4 linked regions of the Schizosaccharomyces pombe genome follow. The protein of the gene in region 4 binds, or shares a complex with, the protein of the main gene of each other region. Each region holds a gene or a part of one and is shown on either strand. Other genes may lie near its edges. The genes, in order: nam9, SPOM_SPBC16A3.14, rsm10 and mrp4.

What was found.
Region 1: mrp4 (region 4) and nam9 share a complex: the UniProt entries of both Schizosaccharomyces pombe proteins name them as parts of the mitochondrial small ribosomal subunit.
Region 2: mrp4 (region 4) and SPOM_SPBC16A3.14 share a complex: the UniProt entries of both Schizosaccharomyces pombe proteins name them as parts of the mitochondrial small ribosomal subunit.
Region 3: mrp4 (region 4) and rsm10 share a complex: the UniProt entries of both Schizosaccharomyces pombe proteins name them as parts of the mitochondrial small ribosomal subunit.

What each region holds. Positions count from the first base shown.
Region 1 is NC_003423.3:3,727,234-3,732,133, forward strand, and holds nam9 (mitochondrial 37S ribosomal protein uS4m), read right to left. Parts: upstream 2,117-4,900; 5' UTR 2,056-2,116; coding exon 2,020-2,055; intron 1,967-2,019; coding exon 1,019-1,966; 3' UTR 962-1,018; downstream 1-961. Other genes in the region: rns1 (putative RNA-binding protein), read right to left, coding at 99-424, 472-577, 644-835; mpg2 (mannose-1-phosphate guanyltransferase), read left to right, coding at 2,584-2,624, 2,688-2,727, 2,828-3,991; protein Pex14, read right to left, coding at 4,199-4,786, 4,847-4,900. UniProt on the Schizosaccharomyces pombe protein: Component of the mitochondrial ribosome (mitoribosome), a dedicated translation machinery responsible for the synthesis of mitochondrial genome-encoded proteins, including at least some of the essential transmembrane subunits of the mitochondrial respiratory chain.
Region 2 is NC_003423.3:4,269,025-4,273,871, forward strand, and holds SPOM_SPBC16A3.14 (mitochondrial ribosomal protein subunit S26), read right to left. Parts: upstream 3,009-4,847; 5' UTR 2,914-3,008; coding exon 2,107-2,913; 3' UTR 1,967-2,106; downstream 1-1,966. Other genes in the region: nda2 (tubulin alpha 1), read left to right, coding at 1-21, 112-1,424; meu7 (alpha-amylase 4), read right to left, coding at 3,317-4,847. UniProt on the Schizosaccharomyces pombe protein: Component of the mitochondrial ribosome (mitoribosome), a dedicated translation machinery responsible for the synthesis of mitochondrial genome-encoded proteins, including at least some of the essential transmembrane subunits of the mitochondrial respiratory chain.
Region 3 is NC_003423.3:3,867,766-3,874,236, reverse strand, and holds rsm10 (mitochondrial 37S ribosomal protein uS10m), read right to left. Parts: upstream 4,070-6,471; 5' UTR 3,945-4,069; coding exon 3,865-3,944; intron 3,799-3,864; coding exon 3,192-3,798; 3' UTR 3,030-3,191; coding exon of another isoform or gene 1,473-3,029; 3' UTR 1,417-1,472; downstream 1-1,416. Other genes in the region: protein Cwf3, read left to right, coding at 599-1,414, 1,473-3,029; mri1 (methylthioribose-1-phosphate isomerase), read left to right, coding at 5,636-6,471. UniProt on the Schizosaccharomyces pombe protein: Component of the mitochondrial ribosome (mitoribosome), a dedicated translation machinery responsible for the synthesis of mitochondrial genome-encoded proteins, including at least some of the essential transmembrane subunits of the mitochondrial respiratory chain.
Region 4 is NC_003424.3:3,064,125-3,068,820, reverse strand, and holds mrp4 (mitochondrial 37S ribosomal protein uS2m), read left to right. Parts: upstream 1-2,554; 5' UTR 2,555-2,611; coding exon 2,612-3,403; 3' UTR 3,404-3,495; downstream 3,496-4,696. Other genes in the region: sgd1 (ribosome small subunit biogenesis protein), read right to left, coding at 1-39, 87-407, 451-2,114, 2,164-2,233; SPOM_SPAC24C9.09 (threonine--tRNA (Thr) ligase), read right to left, coding at 3,630-4,696. UniProt on the Schizosaccharomyces pombe protein: Component of the mitochondrial ribosome (mitoribosome), a dedicated translation machinery responsible for the synthesis of mitochondrial genome-encoded proteins, including at least some of the essential transmembrane subunits of the mitochondrial respiratory chain.

The sequences.
Region 1 (4,900 bases), on a different chromosome or scaffold from region 4:
TAGTAGTGGTACGTATCAAACAACGACATAATAAAGCTTTCAAACTGGAAATTTGTTTTCACTTTTCTTTTTTATTCAGTAGGCCACAATTTGCGGGATTAAGGACGATGTCTATAGGAGTGATAGGGGGGTGATTGATCAGAATATTCAGATATATTGGAACCTGGAGATCGGCTACGTGCCCGAGAATATCTGGAGCGATGAAACGATTTATCGTTGTAATGTGAATTGTTTTGTGACCTTGATGGTCGATACGAGTTTTCGTAGTGCTTATGGTTTTTGTGTAGTGACTCAAAAGGAAAACGTTTTATCGATACAAACAACTCCTCACCATCAAGCTCAGCGTTGTTCATCTTATCGACGGCGTTTGCGGCCTGGTCATGGTATACGTATTCTATGTAGCAATACCCTTTATTCAATTCAGCTGCAAAGTTAGTGGGTGTAATTCATAAAAAATAAAAGCTCACTCACATTTTTTATAAATTGGCATGAAAATATGATCAATTAGTCCATAAATCCCAAATATTTCTGCTATATGTTCTTTAGTGACATTACGCGTCAAATTTTCCACAAGAATCTATTTTGCATCGTATTAGAAACGATTAGTATGCCTTAAATAACTAATTATACATGGAAAACGTACTGTTCGCAATGGTTCTTCTGGAGATCTGGAAAGCGAACTCGAGTAAGATCTATTCGAGGAAAAAGAATCACGACTACTAGACCGATGTGAGAAATTGGAAGAACGCGACGCTGAACGTCCAGATGGAGATCGGGTATTGTTAAATTGTCTTGTTGAGCTACGTCCACGATAAAAGGCCTCCTTTTGGTACATGAAAAAAGATGTGCCAGTTCTTGTATGTGTATAAGATTTGGTTACGTGGATAGCAGTAGACAGGGCAGTTACTTCATAGAGCAGGAAAACAAAAGTGGAAATCAACATAGTATTACAAAAAGCATAATTGAGAATGTTTTATATTTTATTACTAAACTTTTGAGAGGAGTTCATTTATTCGATTTATACGAGTTTCGTCAACTTTCCTTGACGAACTGGATACCGATGAGAGAATGCTTCTTTGGGAGAAACATTTCGTTTTTTATATAATTCAGGAGGTCCTTGATAAAATGATGCATCGCGTACTTTCTGCGGAATAAGCCGTCTGGCCTGACATCTAGCTGCTCCTTGCCGCATATTACGACTTCTGATATAGTATGTATAGGCTAAAGCGTGCAAGTCTTCAGGAAATGGAGAAGGAACTTCCGTTAAGCCAGGACGAGCAACTGGATCACGCACATAAACAAAGGAACAAGTGCGGAAGCAAACTTCTAAATAAGCAGGGATAAATGCCATTAGTGACATAAACGGTTTAGGAACAAAGTTGGAAATTGTTTCATTGATAGAGGGCAACTTTCCATTAGAAGTCTGTTCAAATAAATCATCATCATTATCCTTTTTTTTTTCATTTTCTCCATCCTTAGAGGACACCTGTTCAGTTTGCTTCCCATCCTGTATAGAAGGGGTATTGTTACTAGAGGCAGAAACACAATTCATTACTGATTTTTGATCAACAGTTACTAAATCACCAGGTAAGAGTTGACGATAGGCACGGCGTTCAGGTTTTCCGTTTACGTGCACTTTTCCATGAAGCACCAGTTGGCGAGCCTGTAAAGCGCTAGACGCAAATAACGCTCGATGAATAGACATGTCTAAACGGGATTCCAAAAATGCATAAGTCTGATTCATAAAAGGGATGGGAAGCTTATTATCTAAGGAAGAAATAACCCCCTCCAATTTTGGGCGGAAGGCATTTTTCAGTTGATATTCGCGTAATTGAGGACCATGATAAGACCTTGTTTCCTTCTTCGCATTCCATTTTTTTTGATATAAAGTTCTATTATTCAGAGCAGGTAGTTGTTTTCTTGCAATGTTGTATATATTGTATTTGTTCCACGACGGACGCAAAAGCTAGATATGTATTAATAAAAGCGAAAAAATCAATAATTTCATATATAACATACACCGCGCTTTAAAGAGAACCTAAATTTCCCCTTCATGAGCAATTAAGTCTTTGTCACGAGAGTCCAATCTTCCAGCGTAGTGCGTGAAGTTGATGGTAAATTCATAAAGGTGATTAAAGAGAACAAATTTTTAAAAAGGCTACTTTTACTCGAAAATTCAATTAGTAAATTTTATTTATTTAAGTTTTAATGCATTATAATTTGTACCAAAGCTAGAAGGTGCTTTACTATTTTCTGCAAAACAGCTGATGATGAGCATTAAGTTCCTCACGGCTGGCAAAGTGCCTCAGCCTGCAGCACAATTTTTAGATCATGGGTTTTTGAACTAAATTGATTTACATTAGTATTTCATTGTTACATAGAGTATTATCTTCTGCAGCCAGGCTATTAAGTGCAAATATGAACTGGCAGAAGTTAGCTCATAGCGCTACCTTCCTTATTAAACAAAGGAGAGCTGGACAGGACTTGCACAGAACCACACACCAAGTTTCAAGAGGCGTATATCTCTTTCGTTTTTGGTGATTTTGATACTCATTATTGATTTTTTAGTATTAAATTGCTATTATGATTTCCTCTGCTGTCATTCTGGTCGGGGGTCCATCTCGGTACGTACCAACGAAAAATAAGTCTATTAAACGCGTGAATATCAGTAACTAATTACTTTGCAGTGGTACCCGATTCCGCCCTCTTTCGTTTGATGTCCCTAAAGTACGTCTTATTTAGAATTTATATGTTGGTAAAATACGTAATCCAGTTTTACTTTCTAGTTGCATTTGAAACATAAGAGCTATTTTGCTAACTAAATTAGCCTTTGTTTAAAATTGGAGGACGAGAAATGATTTACCATCATTTGGCGGCTTTATCCAAGATTGAAAGTGTTAAAGATGTCTTTTTGGTTGGTTTCTACGATGAAAGCGTTTTCAAAGATTTTATCAACGAAGTAGCTTCGCATTTCCCCAGTTTCAATCGTATCAAGTATCTCCGTGAATACAACTGCTTAGGAACTGGTGGCGGCTTATACCATTTCCGTGATCAAATCCTTAAAGGACATACTTCTAATGTTTTTGTTATGCATGCGGATGTGTGTTGCAGTTTTCCCTTACAAGAATTGTTAAACGTTCATCACGAGAAGAAAGCTTTAGTTACTTTAATGGCTACTAAGGTTAGTAAAGAAGATGCTTCTAACTTCGGTTGCCTTGTAGAGGAACCAAGTACTGGGCGTGTACTTCATTATGTTGATAAGCCAAGCTCCTATCTTTCAAATATTATTTCATGTGGTATTTATATCTTTGATGCCTCTATATTCGATGAAATCAAAAAAGCGTACGAGCGTAGACTTGAGGAGGTCGAGAAGCAACTCAGGTCCTTGGATGAAGGAATGGAAGACTACCTCAGTTTGGAGACCGATGTGCTTGCTCCATTGTGCTCAGATTCCTCTAAAGCCATTTATGCTTATAATACTCCTGAGTTCTGGCGTCAAATAAAAACCGCTGGCTCTGCTGTTCCTGCTAATTCCTTGTATTTACAAAAGGCATATCATGATGGTACTCTTCCAAAACCCGACACTGAGGCTGAGATCATTCAGCCGGTTTTTATTCATCCTAATGCTATTGTTAGCAAAGGTGCAAAGATTGGACCCAATGTTTCAATTGGTGCTCGTGTTCGCATCGAGGATGGCGCACGTATTCGAAACTCAATTATTCAAGAGGATTGCGAAATTTCTGCCAATGCTGTTGTTTTACATTCCATTCTTTCCCGCCATTGCAAGATTGGTAAATGGTCTCGAGTCGAAGGTTCTCCAACTCTTCCAAGCCAGCACTCCACTACGATTATGCGTAACAGCGTTAAAGTCCAAGCTATTACTGTTATGGGCGCCGATTGTATAGTCCATGATGAAGTACGCGTTCAAAATTGCCTTGTACTTCCTCATAAAGAAATAAAGGTTGGTTTGGTTGGTGAGATTGTGATGTAAGATACTACATTTAACCTTGCAGCAAACTTGCTTTTTATTATATCTACTTGACTCTCCTTTATTATATAATATACATTTATTAGCTGATGCAGAATGCAGATTGTTAAATGATTAAGATGCGTCTTGACAGACCAGTTAAATGACATTAAGTATTATTCTAGAAAAAATCCTGAATTTAATTGTTATTAGTGATTTGTTTTATTACTGTCAATAAGCATCTTCTGCAACGTAAGACTCTGCGGGATCAATATCATTGAAATCAATGTTTTTAGAAGCCTCGTTATGCATTGATATTTGCCAATCTGGAAGGGAGGCAGTACCAACCTTTTTAGTTTGAAAACCTTCTGAAGTATCTAAAGGATTCTCTAATACTGGTATCGAAGAGTTTGATGTGGTAGCGAAAGTGTCGTCTTTTTTTGAATCAGTTTGTAAACATCGTAGAGAGCTAATTTCTCTCGAAAGGTTTTGTAATGCTTCTTCTTGAGATTTCTTAATTTGCTCAAGACTTTGTGGTAAAGTAATAGTACTCATGGTATATACATCTTGTGAGATTCTAGCTATTTCACGATCTCGGTTTTCGGACGTACGCTTCAAAGTATTCAACGTCTCTTCTAAATCATCTAACGCAATGTCCAATTCATCTTGCTGTTTTTCAGTTCTCTCGGAAAGCTTTCTTGTTTGTTCATCTAAATTTTCGAGTATTTTATGAGCTTCTAGAAATTTAGCATCCAAAGCGTTTTTATCAGCTTCATAAGCGTTTTGAGATGGTGCGCGAAACATTGGTGCTATGTATTTCTAAATTTAATTATGTTAAAACAGCACGAATATTTTAAATGTTCAGTTTTTTGAACGTACCTTTACTAATGAATACGCCGACCATGCAAATCCAGTCGAAATAACGCCCATAAT
Region 2 (4,847 bases), on a different chromosome or scaffold from region 4:
CAGGTGTTCAAATCGGTAACGGTATGTTCAATATCCATCTTTTTGTATTGCTGTATACTCTAAATAGTTGGCAATCGATTTTTTCATAAAAAATTTAGCTAACATTTCTAGCATGCTGGGAGTTGTACTGTTTGGAGCATGGCATAGGACCCGACGGTTTTCCTACAGAAAACTCCGAAGTTCACAAAAACAATAGCTATTTAAATGATGGATTCGGTACATTTTTTTCTGAAACCGGGCAAGGAAAATTCGTACCTAGAAGTATCTATGTTGATCTTGAGCCTAACGTTATTGATCAAGTTCGTACTGGACCGTATAAAGATCTGTTTCATCCTGAACAGATGGTAACTGGTAAGGAAGATGCTTCTAACAATTACGCCCGTGGACATTATACTGTAGGAAAGGAAATGATTGATAGTGTATTAGAAAGGATACGTCGTATGGCTGACAATTGTTCTGGTCTCCAAGGTTTCCTTGTATTTCATTCTTTTGGTGGTGGTACCGGCTCGGGTTTGGGTGCTTTACTTCTGGAGCGCTTGAACATGGAATACGGAAAGAAATCTAACCTCCAATTTTCTGTTTATCCCGCCCCTCAAGTGAGCACATCCGTTGTTGAACCTTACAACTCTGTGCTCACTACCCATGCTACTCTCGATAACTCTGACTGTACCTTTATGGTTGATAATGAGGCTTGTTACGATATCTGTCGCCGAAATCTTGACATTGAGCGTCCAACCTATGAAAACCTCAACCGCCTTATTGCTCAAGTTGTCTCTTCTATCACCGCTTCTCTTCGATTTGCTGGTAGCTTAAATGTTGACTTAAATGAGTTTCAAACTAATCTTGTGCCATACCCTCGTATTCACTTTCCTTTAGTCACTTATTCTCCTATTGTCAGTGCAGCTAAAGCATTCCATGAATCCAACAGCGTACAAGAGATTACGAATCAGTGCTTTGAGCCTTATAATCAAATGGTAAAATGTGATCCACGAACTGGCCGCTATATGGCTACTTGTCTTTTGTATCGTGGTGATGTTATCCCACGTGATGTCCAGGCTGCCGTTACTAGCATTAAATCTCGTCGCACCATCCAATTTGTTGATTGGTGCCCTACTGGTTTCAAAATCGGTATTTGCTATGAGCCACCCCAACACGTTCCTGGTAGTGGAATCGCTAAGGTAAATCGTGCTGTTTGTATGCTTTCAAATACCACCTCGATTGCTGAAGCTTGGTCTCGTCTGGACCACAAGTTTGACCTTATGTACAGCAAGCGTGCTTTTGTTCATTGGTATGTCGGTGAAGGTATGGAAGAAGGTGAATTTTCAGAAGCCAGAGAAGATTTGGCTGCCTTAGAAAGGGATTACGAAGAGGTTGGTCAAGATTCTATGGATAACGAAATGTACGAAGCTGACGAAGAGTATTAATTTATCCAATAATCGCTTTTATACGTTATTTCATTCGTTTTATAACTTGAAGATATCTTGCATCTACCCTTGTCTCTTTAATCTTTGTTTATTCAGCCCTGTGGTCAAATAACTAAAGGGTGTCTGTCTTTCTTTGAGAGTTAAAATGTTCACCCAGCGGCAAGGAGATAAATTGCTCGTCCACTTATCTCACTGATTTTTTAACTTGAACATTCTTTTTCTTTACTAGTCAATTCTCATTTAGATATCAATCTAATCCACTCTATCTTTGCAAATAAACCACCAGTAAAATTTCAATTTCTCCTTTCTGTGGTATCTTTTTTTTTTAATTTTGCATGAAAAAGAGACACTATAAACTGTAAATTACATTGTGTATTGGCGCTTTTCTAGCTTTACAAAAAAAATGTTTTTAATCTCAACCTCTAAGCAATAAATCGGTTAATTGGTTAATAAATTACTTAACTTATATGACTCGATTGCTCGGAATTAGCCTAAAATCATTTAGAATACGAGCATGAGCCAAAACAGTCTACTGTAGAAGTTTCAAGGACGAGTAGAGAAAACACAATTTTTATTAAAATTAGAATGAAATTTATAAGGTGAAAGTAGAAAAAGGCGTTTTTTTAAAATCATAACAAGATTGTGATGAGATATAATTATCTAAATTGATTGCACCTTTCTTTCATACCAAAGAATTAGTCAATCTTTCCTCAATGACAGACCAATCTATGCAATCAAACCATGTGTCGATGTATCTTGAGCGATTTAAAAGACCGTAATCTTTATAATATGCATGATTCCATAAACAAAGGTTTAAAATGGGAACATGCGCATATTTTCGAGGTCTGGCACTATAATCTGGCACACTAGAAATAAGATGGGGATCATTTGATTGCCATCTAGTCCAAAGATACGGAGAACCTGCTTGAAAAGTTCTCAGTAAGTTTAATCTATTATAATCATCAATTACAATCCAAAGCCAACATGCTCCAAAACTATTTGAGGCAAGCTCATGAATTTTAGAAAGTAAATTTTCTTTAGAACCAAAGTTTTCATTGACTGCTTTATTGATAGCGGCATTAGCTTCATATTTTGAGTTTTTTTTGGCATCTGCAGCTCTTTTTCCGATCAAGCTTTGAAAAAAGAAATGATTGTTGTAAGCTTGACTTGCAAACTGGAATGTGGCTGCATGCTCAGGCAAAGCGGCTGTTTGAAAGATAATGTTAAACACAGATGAATCCTCAAGTTCTGTTCCCTTCACTCGATCATTTAATTCTTTTACTACTTGACGTTGATGCTGGTCCCAGGCAATGTCAAGAGCTTCAGGACTGAAAAGTGGTAGCAAATTTCTTTGTGAAAGATTAGGAACTGTGTGGTAATTGTAGCAATAGTTTACTCGATGCACATTGTCTGTAACTGAACTACATCGTTTCAGAAGGTGAGTTATCGGTGAAAGCGCAAGCCCTTTTCGTAGACCTGTGTTGAGCATAAGCAAATTATCTGAATATTAGGTATAACTTGCTGAAATACCTATATAAACCAACAACGAAGTATTTAAGGGAACTGGACGTGTTTGGGTATCGCAGCTCGCCTTGTGTCAAATACAAGTTAGCCACACCACCGCAATTATGAATACGTTTGGACGGTTTGCGTCGGATATCATTATGGGAGTTTAAATTTTTTTGGCTAAAGCTTTACTTGAGTACTTTGTAATTTAAAGCCAAAAATTAAAATGGATTTACCCGTCTATTATTTATATTGAGGTGACTTATCGTTCATGAACTTCAGTACAGAGCCCTATGGGTCTGTAAACTAAGTCATCATACTTTATATGAAAAAGGTTTATGTAAAATAAAAAATCTGTATATTATTAGATTTCAAGGAACGTATACCTACAAAATCATTAACAAAGATAATAAAAGAGCGGCGAGGACATTGGTAAATCCTCGATTTTGCTCTGGTGCCTTTGATGTTTGGGCTTCTTCAACGTTAATGGAGAGAGAACCTTCACTGTTATAATCTTCAGTAAGCTGAATTGGAGATGGGCACAATCCCATCTCATAAGCCGATTCCTCTGGGTACAAGATCATGGGTTCACCGTTGCGTACCATAAATACCTGTCGATTATCTTGTACTGGAACGGACTTGCAAGATAATACGTCCATCCACTTGTGCTCTTCTGCCGAAACAGTATAATGGAAATGAATGTAATATGAACCTAAGTTGTTGAGTACGGTTATTACTTTGCCACGTCGTAAAAGCAATATTCTTTTATCAACGATGCTAATATCCGACTGCATATTTAAGAAAGCTTCTCCGTCTTTGCTTTCAATCATAGCTTTGCGGAAACGATTGATTGTAGACGTGAACTTATAGTAAGGATTTCTTTTTGGGAAACCTTTCTCCCAAATTGCAGGTCGATTATAAGGAACCTCTTCACCGCGCATGGCAAGTTCTTGGCCGTTGTACATCATAGGAATACCATCTCCCATAAGAACAAAAGCAATTGCATTCTTTAAGGTGGCTGGATCACTAGAAATTGAAGCCATTCTAGGAAGGTCTTTGTTCTCAACGAAGTTTCCTAACAATAGGGGATTGACACACAAACCGCGCATGTCAGTCATTTTGTCGGCAAGATCAACAATTCCCTCTGGATTATTCATCAAAAATGCTTTTACAGCAGATTCTCTAACAGGGAAGTTACTCAACCCTTCCAAGTCGTTTTGCCAATCACAAACTTTTAAAGAGTCGGAAGATTTCAAGTCACCCATGCAAAACACTCCAGCAGCTTTGCAAAAATCTGGCCAGTACTTTCTATATTTGTCACCCATAGCATCGAAACGAATACCATCAATTTGGAAAGTTTCTACAAATGTTTGAATATAGTCCTCGAGAGCCCCTTTAGCACTAGGACGCTCATGAACTGAATGGTCTTCATGGCAAGAGCAGTGTTCCTCGTGCTTCCAAGGCTTGTGATCGGGCTTGGTTCCATTGTGGGGAACTGGACGAGGGAACTTACCGTGATGGCAGTGTTCCTCGTGCTTCCAGGGTTTATGGTCAGGCTTGGTTACATTGTGAGGAACTGGACGAAGGAACTTACCATGGTGGCAGTGTTCCTCGTGCTTCCAAGGTTTGTGGTCAGGCTTGGTTCCATTATGAGGAACTGGGCGAGAGAACTTATCATGATGGCATGAGCAGTGTTCCTCGTGCTTCCATGGCTTGTGATCGGGCTTGGTTCCATTGTGGGGAACTGGACGAGGGAACCTACCGTGATGGCAGTGTTCCTCGTGCTTCCAGGGTTTATGGTCAGGCTTGGTTCCATTGTGAGGAATTGGACGGGGAAACTTACCGTGATGGCAGTGTTCCTCGTGCTTCCAGGGTTTATGATCAGGCTTGGTTCCATTATGAGGAACTGGACGAGGG
Region 3 (6,471 bases), on a different chromosome or scaffold from region 4:
TATTGATTGTTTCTTTGTTTATAGTATATATTGCAAACAATTAGTCAAGGATTTAGGCATTTCGATGTGATTTTTGTAAGCTGATTATATGTACAATTAGTGTTTTTGCCGCTCCTAATTAGTGATAACTAGTTTGAATACTCGTTAATTTTTATGACCAAAAGTCACATTAGCACCACTATTAGCTTTATATCTACCAGGTGAAGCGATTTTGCGTTTCGTATAAATATAATTTGAATATAGCAATCAATGAATAAATTCGAAGTACAGAAGAGGTTTACTGATAAGGGTAGTTAAATAGCAGAAGGTCGTTATGGATAGTGATTTACAACAAATGAAATAGAAATCGAAGGGCTGTATTTTGTAGCTCTGATTTATCAACATACTTTGGCTTAATTCCCTAGAGGTGGGCATATAGACAGTCTTTTAATTCTGTAATTTATTTGTTTTATATCTTATAAGCAATGTGCTTTCTCAATTAAGTTTCATCTTATGGGGTTAAAATTGAACTTCATATTTTTCACTTGCCCAAGGTCTATTGTATGCACGACAACAGCCTACATCGGGCTTCTTTAGAAAACAATCAAAAGGATTAGAAATGGGAGATGTTATTCCACTGAAAGTTAATTTTGATCTAATTAATGTTGATGACGAGCCGTTTGAGCTTGAATTGCTACGTGATCCATATTCTCTGAAAAGTTGGTTACGATATATAAAGACCCATGAAGGATCTACTTTGGAAAAGCGTGTGCTTTTATTTGAAAGAGCTTGTTCAGAACTCCCGGGAAGCTATAAAATATGGAAAAGCTATTTGGAACTACGTGTAGCGCATGTTGAACATTTGAACCCATATTTTCATGCCGAAGCTTTTGCTTCTGTAAACGATTGTTTTGAGCGCTCTTTGATTTTATTGCATAAAATGCCTGTTATTTGGAAACTATATTTACAATTTTTGATGAAACAACCAAATGTCACTAAGATTCGTTGTACATTTAACTCTGCACTTCGCGCCTTACCGGTAACTCAGCACGATGATATTTGGGACATGTTTACGAAATATGCTGAAGATATTGGAGGATTATTTTGCATCCATGTCTACCGCAGATATATACAAGTAGAACCAAGAGCAATTGAAAACTACATTGAGATACTTTGTAAATTAGGGCTGTGGAATGAAGCTGCTCGACAATATGAGGATATTTTAAATCGGCCCGTGTTTTTATCAGCAAAAAGGAAGAGCAATTATCAGATATGGCTCGAGTTTTCCGAGTTAGTTGTTCAGCATCCTGACCATACGCAAAACATAGACGTAGAAAAGGTTTTTAGAGCTGGCATTAAAAGGTTTTCTGATCAAGCAGGGAAACTATGGACTTATTTGGCACAATATTATATACGCATTGGTGACTACGAGAAGGTATGTTTAACTGGTTTGTTTATTGACCCCTTATTGCAAAAACTAACTTATCGTACAGGCAAGAAGCACATTCTATGAAGGGATGAATAACATAATGACTGTAAGAAATTTTACAATTATATTCGATGCTTTTGTTGAATTCGAAGAGCAATGGCTATCTGCACGAGTTGAAGCAAGCAGCGGAAATGCAAATGACGAATTAAGTATCGATTTTCATATGGCCTGGCTCGAGAAAATACTTGACAAACGTCCGCTTTATATCAATGATGTATTATTAAGGCAAAATATAAATAACGTTGACGAATGGCTTCGCCGAGTCAAGTTTTTAGAAGACGACAGCGAAAAAGTTGTTCAAGTTTACACAGACGCTATAAAAAATGTAAATCCAAAGCTGGCGCATGGCTCCCTCGGCAAATTGTTTTCAGAGTTTGCTCGTTTTTATGAAAATTTTGATGATTTAGAACAATCAAGGATAATTTTTGAAAAGGCTACTCATGTACCATATAAAACAGTCAATGAGTTAGCACAAGTTTGGATTGACTGGGCCGAGATGGAACTTCGACATCAAAATTTTGACGCTGCGAGAAAATTAATAGGAGATGCCGTTCATGCTCCTAGAAAAAGTCATATCAGCTTTTTTGATGAATCACTCAGTCCACAAGTACGGCTACACAAGTCATCTAAGATATGGATGTATTATCTTGATCTTGAGGAAAGCGTTGGTACGATTGAAACTACACGCAAATTGTACGACCGCGTCTTTGAACTAAAAATTGCTACTCCCCAGGTGGTTGTCAATTATGCAAATCTCTTAGAGGAGAATGCTTATTTTGAAGATTCATTTAAAATTTATGAGAGAGGTGTTGCGTTATTTAGTTATCCCGTGGCTTTTGAACTTTGGAATTTATATTTAACAAAATTTGTTAAACGATATCAAGGAACGCATATGGAAAGGACCAGGGATTTATTTGAACAAGCATTAGAAGGATGTCCGCCCGAATTTTCGAAAAGTATTTATCTTCTGTATGCCGATTTCGAAGAAAAGTTTGGCAAAGCAAAAAGATCCATTTCTATTTTAGAAAAAGCGGCCGACAAGGTTAAAACAGCAGACCGTCTTGCTATTTACAATGTGTTACTCGTTAAAGTGGCATTAAATTATGGTGTACTGGCGACAAGGACAGTTTATGAGAAGGCTATTGAATCCCTGAGTGACTCAGAAGTCAAAGATATGTGCTTAAGGTTTGCTGAAATGGAGACGAAACTTGGTGAAATCGATCGTGCTCGTTTAATATATATTCATGGAAGTCAATACTGTGATCCAAGAGTTGAAACGGATTATTGGAAAGCATGGCAAGAATTTGAAATAAGGTACGGAAATCCAGAAGAAACAGTTAAAGAAATGCTTCGTATTAAACGGTCTGTACAAACTAAGTTTAGCACTGATTCCCTTCATATAGCGAAGAGAGCAGCTAAAATTGAAAGTGCAGCAGCACCAATGGATCCAATGGAACAGCTTGAAATGGAAAAATCTGAAGGACCTAAGGCACTTGCGGGTTTTGTTCTTTCGAAAAGCAATCCCCAAGAAACTTCAAAAATTACTGGTGAGGAAAACTAACGAAACAAGTGTGGACTATTCGTAACGTTTTTAGTTAAAGAACACTTTTAATGAAGAAAAGCTAGTGTCATATTGTTAAAAAAAAAAGTACGAATACAGTCAGAGTATTTTTGCTAATAAACGGTCCAACATCAGAGTAATTGAAAACACATTAGTTAATTTTTATTTTCGAGATGAATTTTTTAACAAATCTTTGTAAATGGGGTCGTTTCTGAGCAATTTTTCGGCATTTTGTGTGATTATATCTTTTTTCGAAGGACCGTTTAACAATTCTTTGAAATTATCAGTAGACTTAGACTGTGACTCGAAGTTTTTAAGGGCATCATCGATGGATTCGTATTCATAAGCTTTTGCTTGCAATTTTAAATCCCACATGTTGCATTTTCGTAAATAACTAAAAAACGTTTCTAAAGTAACTGGATTGACACTGTACAGTTGTATAAGTCGAGAGTGCGTAATACGTTCAAAATTCTCCTGAGAAGATTTGTGAATAAAAGGTGATCGGAGTAAAGTCCAGCTTTCTACTTTGTTGGGTAATGGACGTGGACCCTTGATTGGAATTTTCATGTAATACGCTGTTCGACAAATGAAGTCGGTAAACGTATCAAGTTTTGGAGTTTCAAAGCTTTTAATTTTTAGAGAAGCACAAAGTACGTCGTTTTCAGAAGGATTGAATTTAACAGGGTTCAAATATACAGCTGCAACGTTGGAAGGAAGCTGTTGAAAAAATGGATTCTCAAAAAGTTGATCCTTTTCGCTGTTCCCTTTGCTAATAAATTGGGGTTAGAATGTACAAAATTATAGCTTAAATTAGAGGAAAGGATTGAATACATACGGTGATTCTTTGCCAATAGCTGTCTGGAAACAACGTTTCGGTTGCACGCGAGGTAATGTACCAAACATATACCGTTTCATGATTAATATTTTAGCCGGTTACTTAAAATACTTGTTAAGAAAACCACAAGAACAAAATTCCAACAATTAAACACTGTAAAGGTGTTTTTTTTTAACAAAATTTTTTGGTTGGAGTGGGGAGTAATGGTCGAGCTACACTTGTCATCCACCATCATATTCAGTTTAACACAATTATCGTAGGACTAAGGGGTTATTAATCAATGTTTTAATTGAACATAAACAAGCGGAGCGAAATCATTTTAAATGTCGTTCGCGCGTGAATACCTTGAAAAACACGTAGATGGTAACATTTATTTTAAAAAAGCAATATCATTCTGTAATTTATACTATGATGGAACGATCTAACTATAAATTTTTTATTTGCATTTGAAGGTCAAAGTTTAGAATTCAAAGGTGGGTGTGATTGTACTGTACTAAAAATATTATTGATGCACCATAGTGAAGAAAACCAAAAAAATTCGATTAAACATGAATATTTGTGATTATAAGGCTTTCAGCACAATTTAAAATTGACCAGTATGATGAGAGTTCTCAGTCAGCAATGAGATGTAATTTTTTAAAATTATGAGGAGACAATTATTTTACAATAACAAATTCCGGAAGTTAACAAAAGTGTGAACTGAACAATTGTGCTTTTGAGCTAGGAATTAAAGGTTTGGGACTGGCATCCTACTTGCAATTATGGAAGAATCTACTGATTTGTCATTCAAATTACTTTATACTACAAGAATACATAGGGATTTTGGAATTAAATGCTTACCTCGTAACACAATAATCGTTCTCATTTAAATTGGCTTTAACAATGAAAAATATTCAATGTTTTACAGTTTCAAGGTTGTATGTTAAACTGTTACAGCAGACAGCTATATAAATATATTAACTTGCGACCCTTGTTTACCAATCCTGCATTCAAAACTGACTTGCGATCACTGATATATATATATATATATTTAAGTATTGCAAACGAGTATCACTTTTCAAGCAGATAGGTTGGTGTCAACAACTTCTTGCTGCATGTCAAAGTCAAAGTCGCACATATGATTATTAAATTGACACTACCGAACATCTTGATAAATACTTCAAGCATGGCTTTTCTGGAAAACGAAAAAAATATATCGTTCTCATCTTTAAAAGTTTGAAGTTTGTATACATAGGTTCTACAGCTGTAATTCCTTCATAAAACATCAATGCATATTATTATTCCTTGATTCTAATATGTCAGATCGACTCATTATTAAAAATAAATTCGGTGATACATTTTTTAATCTATAATTCAAGGCACCATACTCATTATCAAAATAACTTGGTAATATAATTTGACGATGGAACTTACATCTTTGAATGAGTCTAAATTTTTTGTTTACGCGTTCAAAATGTTAGATGCATATCAAATAGTGCGGATAAATAAGAAGCACAATATTAAGTTAGGGTTGCTAATTTTATCTATCTATAAGCAGTGTCAAAAGTACGAAAGACTGCGTTAACTCTTCTTATAAATTTATATTAAACTTAATGTACTATTTTTTGTTCCTAAGTAAACTACACAGTGTAACTTTATATTAATTCATTATTTCTATTAATGCATCGCTACGAGCTTCATCAAATCCTTTAATTTTATCTGATGCATGTGCGTTCGTGCGCTAGTGAAGTAAAAGTTTTCAAAGGCAGAGATATTCAAAAATTTGGGCAGAATGTCGTTGCAAGCAATCATTTATAATGAGGACAAGCTTCTTGTATTAGACCAATTACTTCTTCCGTACGAGCGTAAATACATTTCAGTTAGTAATGTAGAAGACGCATTCGCTGTCATAAAAAAAATGCAAGTTCGTGGGGCCCCAGCTATTGCTATTGTAGCAGCTTTGAGTGTGGCTGTCGGATTAAAACATCTTTCTGAAGATGCAGATGCAAAAGAATATGTTATAAATAGCTTTGAGCATCTCAAACAGTCTCGTCCTACCGCTGTCAATCTTTTTGAAACTGCAAAGTTTATGCAAGGCATTGCTCTTCAAGAAGGAAAAAATTGTCGAAATAAAATTATTCAGGAAGCGGAGCGTATGCTAGTAAAAGATTTAGAAGACAACCACAATATTGGAACTGCTGGCCGAAAATTCTTGTTGCAGCATTACAAAGATAAAGACAAGCTCACCGTTTTGACCCATTGCAACACTGGATCTTTAGCTACCTCAGGTTATGGTACAGCTTTGGGGATCATTCGTAGTTTACACGAATCGGGGAACTTGGAACACGCTTATTGTACAGAAACTCGCCCTTATAACCAAGGCTCTCGTCTCACTGCTTTTGAGTTGGTTCATGATAAAATTCCAGCAACTCTAGTCACAGATTCCACGGTTGCTTCAATTATGCACAAAATCGATGCCATTGTCGTCGGCGCCGACCGCGTTACTCGTAATGGCGATACTGCAAACAAGATTGGCACATATAATCTTGCTATTTTGGCAAAACACTTTGGAAAGCCTTTCATAGTGGCTGCTCCCTTTTCTTCAATTGACACTAGTTTAGCGTCTGG
Region 4 (4,696 bases):
CGTTTGCATTTGGGCATTAATGGCCATAAAATCCACATGCTAAAATTGAGTTAGTAATTACAATCAAATTTTTAGAATATACGTACTTTGAGGATAGTTAAGGGCTGTGCAGCTTCAATGACTAAAGACGCATAAAGCTTCGCCAAGTTAACTATGCGTCTCATGGATATTTCTCTTTCTTCACTATCATCATCTGGTTGTAGTTCATTAAAGAAATCCCAAAGAGAGAATTGAAATGACTTTTTCAAATTGTGCTGCAATGTACAACATTTTAACGCTACCAAACCATAAAACGGGTTATACAATTTCTCATTACCAACGCAATGCAAAATTACATAAGCTATTTCAGGTAATTGATTCCTTTTGAGATGCAACTTCAGCACTCTTTCCCATGCATCAATGTAGTCCTAAGTTTGTTAGTTTAAAGTTAATGAAATTTAGAACGAATACCTCTGAACCAACAAGGGCAACGAATATCGAAGTTCGAAGAGTTGAATTCAATCTTAACTTCTTAGCAGCTTGTAAAATTTTTGAATGGGCCGTCAGTTCTTCTGATTTTTTCTTATCCTGTAATGCTTCAGTAGATAATGTGTTGTCACCAGATGGAACATTATTCCAAGAAGCTCCAACAAGCCACCATCGACCTTTCGTCTCAATCTGCTCAATATCTTCTAAAGTAACTCGTAAAGGCTCTCTAGCATTTAATGAGCGGTTGCCTAACGAACCCAAAAATTTCTTTAGCTGATTTACAGCTTCAAATTTAGATTGGGCGCTAGCATTGGCAACTTTTGTTTTTTTGTTTTCTTTAAGATTAGTGATCGATTCTACCATAAACTTTGTACGGACAGATATGGTTGATGGATCAGCTGAAGCTAATAACAAATTCATTTCCGTAACAATATCTTGGAGAGACGTCGGGTCATCTGATCGCAACTGCCCTCCACAATTGAGGACAATTTTGAGCAGCATTTCAACGTTCAATTCGGTTAAAGAGCGTAAAAAAAGGCGAATCAAATCATAAACAAGAACACATGAAACAAGTTGAAAATTATACAACTCAACAAAAAATACAATCAAGTTAGAAGTCTCCTTATGGGAAGAAAGAGGTTCTTTCTCTTTTGATTTATAAAGCTGCAAAAAACGTTCCACTAGGGTTTGCAATAGATGAGCACCAAAGTCATTGCCTACAATGCGGTAAAGAGCAGTGGCTAACGCAGCATATACTATGGCCAATTGATCTAGCATAGATTCTCTTCCCATTACGGTTTGTAGTAGCAAATTGGTGATGGTAGACGTGACTGAGTGTCTTGAATTTTCCATGTAAAGGACTTCAATCTCCTTAATAATTGAAGAAATATTTGCGATAGACAATTTGTTTAGCGATCCTTGTAATTTCCGACGAAGTCGCAGAGCATCTTCTGACTCCTTATCTCCCCCTAATTTTTTCCGTAAAGATGGAGGGACATACTTTGAGCCGACGTTCGCATTAGGTAAGGATGGGACTGCAGGCTTCAAAGGATCCATCCGAATCGGCTTAGTTTCAGGTTGATGGAATTCATCAGAATTAGACTCAAACCCATGAAACTCTTCCTCCTCCTCACCCGAATTTCCTTCCCTTTCACTTTCCAACTCATCAACGCTACCATGGTCACCTGTATCGTCTGAAACTTCAGAGTCTTCTGAATGACCATATGAAGGATCTTCAGTGCCCGGAACGCCTATGTCATCAATTTCTTGATCTAGGTCTTCTAAAAGCCATCCAAATTCCTTGTCAATTTTTGAGTGAGCAGATTTATCTTTGCTTTTGATGCCAAGCATCTTTTCTAAATGAGCGATTTCACGATCATCCTCTTCCAAAGCAATCTTATGCTGAAAAGCAATGGGATCGAGTAATTTACTCTCCTTTGCCTGTTTATTCTGTGAAGATTTTTTTTTTGTAGATGACTTTCTGTGAGCATCTAAGTAATCATCATTAAGTTCAGAAGACTTACTATCACCTTCTTCTGTAATCTTCCGGTTTTCATAACCATTTTTTCCTCGAGAGATCCTAGCAAATTTTCTTTTTTCACGATGAGGTAGATTATGATTTCGCTTTCCCCGCCTAGCACTCGAATCTATCAATTTGGTTAAATATACTGACCAAATCTATAAAAAAAAGCTTACCAGATTCTCCTATCTCTTCTAAAATACTTTTGGGCAGTTTTAAGCTTCTGCTTTTTTTAATTGGCCTCATACTATCGAATGTTTAAATATTAAACAAACGATAATTAATACTAAAGCTCAAGAACTACCAAATTTTTCAATTAAACGATACCAAAAACTGGTATAATTGCTTTACAAAGAGAAGAATTGGGCCTCAGTCTCGAGTTGGCGTATCGTTTCAAATGAATTTCACAACACTGCTAATGGAACTGTATACAATATCGCAATTTGTTAATGCTATTTAAAGTTGTCACTCTGCTGCTGTATTTTACATTAACGCTCTATGTAGTATCACACTAATAAAGCATATCGAAGTGGAAATGTTGCAATCGTGCAGCGATTTCAAAGTCTTAAAGTACTACTACACCAAACGGGCTTTCATTTTGCTCGAGTCATTCGTGTCTGTATTATGCTTTCACGGAAATTATCACCGGAGCAACTTGTAGCTCGTCGTTTAAAAATACGTGACTGGAATCACAAAATAGGTGCAGTTGTAGCTCCCCATTATTCACCGACATTATCCATTCGAAATCCGGCACCTCCTAGTCAACTTAGTCTTCCTTTATTGTTGTCTTCTGGTGCTCATTTAGGACACTCTACATCCATATGGAATCCTTACACGCAGCCCTTTATATATGGTAAAAGAGAAGGTATTCACATAATATCATTGGATCAAACCATGGTTTACCTACGAAGAGCTATATCCGTCGTTAGATCAATAGCTAAAGAAAATGGAATTATATTGTTCATTGGCACCAGAAACGGCCAGAAAGATTCTGTCGTTGCTGCTGCCAAACGTGCTAGAGGTTATCACATATTTGATCGTTGGCTACCAGGACTTCTCACCAATGCCAGAGAAGTACAAGGAAAGCTTGGCGGTTCAATTTTATGTAAAGATAATAGAGGGAAATTGATTCAAACTGATAAAAAACCAAGTTATGTCTTTCCTGATTTGATGGTTATACTAAACCCATTAGAAAACAAAAGTGCTTGTCTAGAGGCACAGAAAACTCATGTTCCAACAATTGGAATCATTGATACTGATGCGGATCCAAGGATGGTTACCTATCCTATTCCAGCAAATGATGATTCTTTACGGTGTACAGATTTAATAGCTGGTTTACTGAGTAGGGTAGCTGAGCAAGAGTACCAAAAAGCTAACCAAGCCTTCGAAAAAGATAAATTTACACTTCCTTTATGATTCCCCTCTCATTGTTTTGAAAATGCCTGTATTCTTTGATTTTTCTAAACATGATTAAAGATAAGGTCTGATTAATTTTCACTAGTATTCAATAAAATTAATGATTCGTAAACGAAAGGTTAAAAAGAAAGAATAAATTATTATGGATAACGTATATATCACATTTCAATGATTTGATGCCAAAATTTTTGTTAAAGACAGACATATTTTGCTGTGCGAAAGGAAATCATCGGTATGCTTTCACATTTTCTATAAACTCTTTTTTCAATTGTTGAATAGTCATCTTTCTAGTATCCCTTGAATTATGATTGTGTCTACTAGATACACTGAGAATTTCTTTGTCAACTTCGTCTTCTCCAATGACAATTTCATAATTATAATTTAAAAGTCTTGATTCACGTAGCCGTTTGCCAATAGATTGTGCTTCAGCGTTTATGTCCACATAATAGGTATTTTTATTGAGTGGGAGAAATTCAGATTCATTGACTTCCTGATTAGACAATTCCTTTTGTACTTGCTTAGCATAAGTTAGAATTCGATCTGTTTGATTGACTGGTAAAATGACAGCATGTCTAGGACTTAGCCAAAATGGCCAGTGTCCATTTAAATGCTCGATAAGGATTCCCATAAAGCGCTCTAAGGATCCAAATATAGCACGATGAATCATTACAGGTTGTTTAATGAGTTTCTCAGACCCGGCATTGTCTCCCGCATCTGTGCGATAATATAATTTAAATCGTTGAGGTAAATTAAAATCTAATTGAATAGTTGCCGTTTGATGCCACTTTCCACGAGCATCTGCAACCATTACATCGATCTTAGGACCGTAAAAAGCACCATCTCCTTCATTGATGATCCACGTTTCACCACTTTCTTGTAAAGCCTCTCGCAACCCGTTTTCTGCTTCATTCCATGTATCTAAAGAACCGATATGCTCTTCAGGTCGGGTGCTAAGGTATAGTTTTAGTTTGTTCATTCCCAATAAAGAATAAACTTGCTTCACAAAAGTGAGAGTATTTTTTATCTCGTCTTTTATGCTCTCGGGTGAACAAAAGATATGACCATCATCTTGATGAAAGCATCTTAATCTAGTTAGTCCAGAAAGTGCGCCTGATGCTTCATTCCTATGTAATGGACTGAAATCTGCAAACCGCAAGGGTAATTCTTTGTAAGAACGTTCAGTACTAGCATATACAATACAATGTCCGGGACAATTCATAGGCTTTAATCCATAAGTGGCATTGGAATGCTCATCCTCGACATTACGGCTTTCTTCAACACGAAATATTTCTT